Linked DNA regions of Macaca fascicularis. The protein of the gene in region 1 purifies or fractionates together with the protein of each later gene. This does not show direct contact. Links are inferred from orthologs where the notes say so. Each region holds a gene or a part of one and is shown in the gene's direction. Other genes may lie near its edges.

The links.
Region 2: the proteins of PIP4K2A (region 1) and UBE2H purify together in Homo sapiens (affinity purification with mass spectrometry; 3 studies listed by BioGRID and IntAct, with this or other methods). This does not show direct contact. The link is inferred for Macaca fascicularis from reciprocal best matches to the Homo sapiens genes PIP4K2A and UBE2H.

Annotation. Positions count from the first base shown.
Region 1 is NC_088383.1:23,508,480-23,512,808, reverse strand, and holds the start of PIP4K2A (phosphatidylinositol 5-phosphate 4-kinase type-2 alpha), read left to right. Parts: upstream 1-1,289; 5' UTR 1,290-1,571; coding exon 1,572-1,715; intron 1,716-1,781; exon of another isoform or gene 1,782-1,974; intron 1,975-2,617; exon of another isoform or gene 2,618-2,849; intron 2,850-4,329. UniProt on the Homo sapiens protein: Catalyzes the phosphorylation of phosphatidylinositol 5-phosphate (PtdIns5P) on the fourth hydroxyl of the myo-inositol ring, to form phosphatidylinositol 4,5-bisphosphate (PtdIns(4,5)P2). Has both ATP- and GTP-dependent kinase activities.
Region 2 is NC_088377.1:171,337,443-171,341,249, reverse strand, and holds part of UBE2H (ubiquitin-conjugating enzyme E2 H), read left to right. Parts: intron 1-899; coding exon 900-1,028; intron 1,029-3,807. UniProt on the Homo sapiens protein: Accepts ubiquitin from the E1 complex and catalyzes its covalent attachment to other proteins. E2 ubiquitin conjugating enzyme that transfers ubiquitin to MAEA, a core component of the CTLH E3 ubiquitin-protein ligase complex.

The DNA of each region.
Region 1 (4,329 bases):
ACAAAGAGTTTATCCAGGCTCGGTGGTGCACACCTGTAGTCCCAACTACTGGGGAGTCTGAGGTGGCAGAATCACCTGAGTCTGGGGAAGTGGAGCCTGCAGTGAGCTGTGATTGCACCACTGCACCCCCAGCCTGAGTGACACAGCGAGACCCTATCTCAAGGGAAAAAATAAAAATAAAAAAGAGGTATAGCTCACATTTATTTTAATGTTTAATATTAGAAGTGTTTTGAGTCTTTACTTCGAAGTTCGGTGATGTTTTTGTGACCAGAAAGAAAGCTCTAGGAAGCTTTCTTTTTTATGTCAGCCTATGGCAAATTTGGTTTTGTTATATGGTGTTTTGCTTAAGGTGACAGTTTCCAAGAACCTATTCAGTGAGGACTGGAGGCCTGTGTCAGAGTAAATACATAGCACAGAATGACGACTGCAGGGACGATATGGGGGCAGCAGGGTTTTAGACATACTTGGAATGGCAGCTTCCTGAGGTAGGCCAGGTATTCTCAGCATAATAAGGGCTACATTTAGGTGTATCTGGAGGAAGACGGTGAAGATTTCCATGGACGGTCAGTGCACTGGAAAACAGGCAGGGATGGCAAGGACCATAGTGATGGATCGGAAGAAGGTGCACTTTAGGGCATGATTCTCCTGGTTAAGCCAATGACTCTCAATGAGGGTCCCAGGGTCCTGCCCCGGGCACGGAGTGGGTTGGCAGTGACAGCCCAGCCTATTAGGTGGGAGTCTCCCTCTTGAATGATTCCAGGAGGCCCATATCGAGGGTCTGAAAGGCCAGACCGTTAATGGCACAAAGGTATTAAGTTCATTTCAGGGACTGACCCGGCAACGTGCCCCGGTCCTTCCCCTCGGTGCTGGGAAGCCCTAGTCTCCTGTAGCATTTCACACCTGGCTGGGTCTCCTGACTCGTGGCGTGGGTGAGCGCGTGAGCCTCCCTCCTTCAGCTGATCGACACCTGGGGGCTCCTCTGCCCAACCTCCTCACTCTGTCCACCCTGTCCTCTCCCTCCTCGGGGAGCGGCAGGGGACGCCCGGCCGGGGTCCCCAGGTTCCCCGCTCGTAACCCGCGGCCTCCTCCGCGGGCCGGGAGCGAACGCCCGGAGCTCGCCCGCGCACAGGCGGCGGTCCGGCTGCAGCGAAGCCGGGGCGGGAGGGCACAGCCTAACGGTCCAGCTGCCGCGCCCCGCGCCCCGCGCCCCGCACCCAGTGCCCCGCCCGCGGCGCCGCAGCCACCTCCCGCCCGCCCGCCCCCTGCGTCATGACGCCGGCGCCCAACGCGGAAGCCGCTCGCGGCGCGCCGGGTCCAGCCGCGGGCTGAGCGCGGAGCCGCGGCGGGCGCGGGATACGGGCCGGGGCGCGAGCCGAGCGCAGCCTGCCGGGCCGAGCGGGCGGAGCGAGCCGAGCGGGGCCGAGCGCGCCGGCAGCGGCGGCGGGCGGAGCGGAGCGCGGCGCGCCGGGGCCGCCGCCGGGGGGATGCGGCTGCCTCCCCGGGCCGGGGTGTAGAGAGGGCGGGTCCCCGGCCTCGGGAGCGCGGCGGTGGAGGGGACATAGGAGGCGGCCATGGCGACCCCTGGCAACCTAGGGTCCTCCGTCCTGGCGAGCAAGACCAAGACCAAGAAGAAGCACTTCGTAGCGCAGAAAGTGAAGCTGTTTCGGGCCAGCGACCCGCTGCTCAGCGTCCTGATGTGGGGAGTAAACCACTCGGTAAGGGCTCGGCTGCGGCGCGCGGTCCCCTTCCTCCTCCTCCTCCTCTTCCTCCTCGTTCCCCTCCTCCTCCGGCTGCAGCTGCTGCGGGGCGGGGAGCCGGAGCCAGCCCCGGCCCTCCGGCTGTTCGCCTGCCTCGGAGCCCCCAGCCCCGCGGCGTCTGCCCCCAGCCCTCCGGGCCGCCCAGGCACCACTTGCGTCCCCTTTAGATCTAGGGCCAGGTGCGGGACGGGGGTCCCGTGTGCACGTGGATCTCACGGTGGGTGCCAGTGCCCCCCACAGTCCGCCCGCCTGCGGGTCGGTCCCCGCTGCCTGGGAGGTGGGAAGTTTGTGCGGGGCATGGCGCCGCCTCGGCTGTCAGCCCGGGCGGGAGCTGCTGGGGGCCGGGTCCCGGCGACCGCTGCCCGGTGTGGGGGCGGCGCGGCGCCCGCGTCCTCCGCCGGCGGGCAGGTGTACCTGTCCCGGGCTGGGCGCGTGCGAACCTCCCACTGGGACACTGGGGCGAGGATACCGGAGCGCGAGCAGATTTGGGGCAGCAGCTTTAGTGCTTAGGTCCTTTCTTTTTCCTTTAAAGGCAATATTACTGGGCACAAGTCGGCCTTTTGGCAAAGCAGCAGCCGATGTAAATATGGCTCTGGCGTCGGGCGGCATCCCTGCGCTTCTCCCGCATCGCCCTGCCGCTGTGCGGGCTGGAGAGCCCTTGGCGGGGAGTCTTCCTCCCTTCGTCGCCTCCCCCCACTTTGAGGAGTCGGGCAGAAGTCGCCTACTGCAGAAGGGCGGCCGGGGCAGGGACAGCAGGCGGGGGTCCCGGAGGGCGCGGGCGGAGGGGGTCCCGAGTTGGGCGCAGCCGCTGTGGGGGGTGTGGGAAAGGCTAGAGAAGAACGCGTGGAAAGGTTAGCGTCACGCACAGTCGGGGTTGGAGGATGCGCCGCTGCGGGCTATGCGGACTGCGGTTTGAGGGTCTGAAATAGCCTCCTGCTGATCTGACAGCGAGAAACTCCTGCAGTTTTAATCCACTTAGATAGGATCAGGAAACATGATCGGAGCTGTTGGCTCAGCCAGGAAAGTTTAAATGAGCTGTGAATTTTGACCATGACCTTAGTCACTGCAGTCACTTAGCATCTGGGGAAAAGTGTAAGTCCGCTTTCCCTGCTTTTAATTTCGATGGATGTCTATATGTCCTTTTCAGCGTAGTGGAAATGACAGAAAACCATGCTGGCTTTTTGAAAAAAACACACTCTCAATGTAGTGAAGTTGTTTAAAATGCCTAAAAGCATCGTTTTTGTATTTTTCTTCCCCAAGCTGCGTAGGGGGAAGGGCGAAACAGTATCAGGATCGATCGTGTTTGCATGGTGTGAGTGTTTTTGAAGAAGTTGAGAAGTGATTATTTTTATCCAGCTTAATGACTGATTCACTGAAGTTCATTGTAACTTCCTGACAACTTCTTTAGCTATTTGGGACTGTAAGTTGTTACAAGAGCATGCATTACTGCACCAAAAACTCCTCTCTCAAGTTTTATTACAGAAAATGAAATGCAGTTTTTCCTAGGTAATACGTTTACAATGTAGAGTTACGTATAATTTTGTTAAGCTTTTTTATTCTTTACGTTATTAGTTTTTGGGTCCCTTATTACTAGAATAGAAACTTATAATTTAAAAAAGGACGAATACTGTAGTGCTTACTCATATCATATTACTCATGTGCCTTTATCTCCTTTGGAGTTCTGGTGTTTTGGTCAGGAGAATGTTTCTGTCTCGGGGTTTAATTTAGTAAGGTGGTGTCAACAATATGCTGCCGAAAGAGAGTGTGCTTTCTGGGAACTCGTCTGAATTCCAGTTTGCCTTTAAAAATATTGTACTTGTGTATGTTTTACTGTAAAAACTTATGTTGCTACCTTACATTTATGAATTGCTACATTTGTTTTAGAGTTTCTTGCTAATTGGAAATATTTAACTAAAGTGCTTCGTAGTGTATGACTTGTAAATAGTACATTTGGTGTTATTTTTCTTTTGCTCTCAAGAGAAGTTAGCGATTCTAAGTATCCACAACCAGAGGAGTGAAGTTTCCATTTCATATAAATGTAAGCATGTTACTCACTCAACAGATACATATTGGGCACATACAGTGTTAGCTACTATGGGAAGGATTGCTAAAACACCTCTAATATTTTTGTCCAAATATCTTTATTTTGAGGGCTCTGAGTTGACATAAGAAAGGTCTGTTTCACAGCCTTCTTTTTCAAAATGTGTATTTTCTTTAGTATATTATTTTTGAAAAAAGAATGGAGGTGTAATATAAACATGAAATCTAAGCACTTAGATGCTGTGTATTTCTGGTTTGATTTCATTTTAGGTGACAGTGTCTGATATTAGGTAAATGTGTTACTAAGGTTTTATATGACCTTCTGTGCACCAAAGTTTATAGTATAATGTGAGAATAAATAACGTCAGCAGTCTTAAGAACAAACAAGCATGGTGTTGTATATGAGCATCTTCCGCGTCCTGTGGTAAAACGTTCATTGGATCTGCGCTTTAAATTTTTCTTAAACTCTTAACTGTTGACCTTGGGCATGTTAAGGTCAGGTTTTGGCATCAGTGTTTGCACCTGTGAACTG
Region 2 (3,807 bases), on another chromosome or scaffold:
ACACCTGTGCATTCCAACTTGGGCAACAGAGTGAGATCCTCTCTCAAAAAAATCTTTTTTAAATAAATAAATGTAGTAGATTGGTGCTTATCTGTCTTATGAATATTTGTGGTTTTATGTGGTCCATGTAATTCCTATCCTCATTACCCAGAATAGTTGAAAAATTGGTTGTATTTACCTCCATTAGAAGTTGCAAGAATTGAATTAAATGTCAAGTCCTATAAAATTATGTTCAAGGCTGAGCACAGTGGTTCACACCTGTAATCCCAGCACTTTGGAAGGCCGAGGCTGGCAGATCACTTGAAGTCAGGAGTTCGAGACCATCCTGGCCAACATGGTGAAACCCCATCTCTACTAAAAATACAAAAATTAGCCAGGCGTGGTGGCAGGTGCCTGTAGTGCCAGCTACTTGGAAGGCTGAGGCAGGAGAATCTCTTGAACCTGGAGGCAGAGGTTGTAGTGAGCCGGGATTGCACCACTGCACTCTAGCCTGGGCAACAGAGCGAAAAAACAAAACCAAACCAAACAAAAAAAACTATCTTCAATTCTTTTAAGACCCAGCATTTGAATACCTTTCACAGTGGGGGGTTTTGTAAGCTGTAGAAAATGGCTATGTGAAATAGCCATAGAAATAGAGTGAAATAGAATTGGGAAAATTGTCTTTCAAAGTGAGTATCAGGTATATCTTTATCTCGTTCTTCAAATTAAAATTAAAAATTTTAATTGGTATTGAAATGAATGTGTAATACAGGTCACATGTACTAGAGCACACTTGTATGGAGAATCATCCCCATGTAGTTAAATATCTAAGAAGGTAAGCAGCTTGACTACTGAATGCAGGTGAATTTTAGGTGAACTTGTATTTCCTGTGCATGACATGTTTCTGTTTGGTTTTTCAGATCTTACCAATATATTTGAGTCCTTCCTGCCCCAGTTGTTGGCCTATCCTAACCCCATAGATCCTCTCAATGGTGACGCTGCAGCCATGTACCTCCACCGACCAGAAGAATACAAGCAGAAAATTAAAGGTAAGAGGGTGCATAGTTTACCTAGAGACAAAAGAACTTAAATCTGTTGGGCTTCAGTCATTAAAAGTCCTTCTTAAATTACTTAGTTCCTAATACTTTTTCTCGGGCCTAAAAAGAGACAGCTGTGGGCTGAAGTAGCACTCACCAACCTCGGGTGGTAGTAGCACCAGTTTGCTCATCCTTTAGGATTTAGAATCCTATTTTCCCATTCTTGAAACAGTTTACATGCTGATGGGATGTGAGTTTGATTTAAATGAAGATAAGTTTGCGAAAGAACATATAGCTGGCCATGGTGGCTCACACCTGTAATCCCAGCACTTTGGGAGGCTGAGGCGGGCGGATCACGAGGTCAGGAGGCCGAGACTAGCCTGGCCAACGTGGTGAAACCCCATCTCTACTAAAAGTACGAAAATTAGCCGGGTGTGGTGGCACGCGCCTGTAGTCCCAGCTACTCGGGAGGCTGAGGCAGGAGAATTGCTTGAACCGGAAAGCAGAGGTTGCAGTGAGCCTAGACTGTACCATTGTACTCCAGCCTGGGTGACAGCAAGATTCTGTCTTTAAAAAAGAAAAAAAAAAATCTAAAACTCCACCTGAATTCATTGGATTGTCCATTTTACCTCTGTTACTTTTCATAGTGAAGAGTCTAGATACATGAAGCTCCACCAAGAAGCAAAGGAATTCAAAGCGTATAATATACCTGCTGTTTTTAACCAATGGCAGGTATTAGTATCTAGCCCGTTTTTCACATGATGGGCCCGTCTGCATAGCAGTCCAGAATTCCTCAAAATGTGTGGCCTATCTGAGGTACATTTGCAAGAGGTGGCAGTAGAAGTAATTTACCAGAGCTTGAATGTGCAGGTCTTCACTCTGAAATGTGCAGGTATGAGGCAAACAGGGACTATTCATGAAACAATAGCTTTTCTTCTGTTTGTTTTCTAATTCTTCTTCCAAGGTCTCTATAGGGTATTGTTTGGAGCTTTTGTTGAGATAAAGCAGAAACAAATTTACTATAATTAGGTAGATCTCAAGTGCTTTGCAAATTAATATCTAATTTATGTAGCAAAATATATAGCTGAGCAAACATGTATTTGAAGAAAAAGGCAGTTTCAGCCAGATAAAGTGCTGTTATGAGACTGTATTAAAATTGCGAAATAGGAATCACTTAGCAATGTCTGCAAACCACAGATATCTTGGAGCAGAGTATATTTCTCTAGTTCACATATGCATTCCGTCTCAACAATTTAGCAGTAGCCCTGTTTCAGTACATATCTGCTATAGTCCCATTTACAAAAAGAACCCAGCCTGCATTTATCTTAGAATGGCTCACTCCAGGGTACGGACCCCCGGCCTTAGGAAATGTTCATGTTGGCTATCATTTTGTCTTTCTTAGAAATCTGAGAAAATCATGGCCATCAGACCTGAGCTCACCCCCAGTTCCTACTGTACCTTGATGTCTTCTCCCCTCCCCCTACATCTTTTCTTTGTTCCTGTGGGAAATAAGAGACACTCTTCCTCATTTCTCAAACTCACTCCCACCACCAACCTGTGATCTTGTTTCCCCAACCCCCCGCCCCTCCCAACGCAGTCTTCCTCCTGCACCTGCCAGAGGTCTCCCTGTTTCAGAAGCGGTGATCTGCTCCTGTGGGCTCCCTTAGGAGTCATGCTGTTTATTCCCTTTCATTTTCAAACTTGCATCCTCACCGTAAACTCCTCTAATTTTTTCCCCTCCTCTGCTTAATCTGTGCCCTCATTTCTTCCCAATCCTTTGGACTCTTCTCAGGTTCCATTTTGCTGGACCTCTCTGCAAGTGTTATATTCTACCCTAACCTTTCTGGAAAATTCTCATTCCGTTTCCTCAATGTGGTCATTCACTTAGGACTTGGTCCCTGGGCTCTGTCTCTTCCTCTCACCCCTGGGGACCTGCTTCACCTCTCACAGCTTAAGTCAGTCCCCTCCAGGGAGATGATTTCTCAATGTGTGTGTCTAGGCCTGGCCTCTCTCCCAAGCTGCTGCTGGACATTTCCATTTGTGTGGCAGTCACCACCAACTCAACACACCTAACACAGTCAGCGTTCATATTTAGTTGGCAGTGTCTTGTAGTGCATGTCTGAAAACGTGTTTAAATATTGGATAGCCCATAGCACTGGGCACCATTGGAGCTGTCTAAAGCTGTCACTTCCCTGCTCAGAACCCTTTGCTGGGTGACATCTTTGCCTGCCATTCAGGGCTCTCTGATACTGAGTGGAATCTACCTCTTTGCCTTTACTCCTTTTTTTTTTTTTTTTTTTTTTTGAGAAAAGGTCTCAAATATAGCTCTCCCTCTCTCTTTTTTTTTCGAGATGGAATCTTGCCCTGTTGCCTAGGCTGGAGTGCAATGGTGCGATCTCAGCCCACTGTAGCCTCTGCATCCCGGGTTCAAGTGATTCTCCTTCTTCAGCCTCCCGAGTAGCTGGGATTACAGGCGTGTGCCACTACGTCCGGCTAGTTTTTTGTATTTTTGTAGAGATGGGGCTTCACCATGTTGGCCAGGCTGGTCTCGAACTCCTAACCTCAGGTGATATACCCACCCTCCCAAAGTGCTGGGTTTACAGGCTTGAGCCGCTGCACCTGGCCATAGTTCTCTCTTAAGGTTGTGTTTAAGCATCCCAGCCACTTACTTTCAGCAAAGCAAAGCCTTTCCCTGGAGTGACCTCTGCTATGTCGTAGCTGGCAGGACTTGGAGGTCAGTGTGGCTGGGACTGCCTCAGCCGTTTTTCTTCTGTAACTGCTTCCCTCTGGT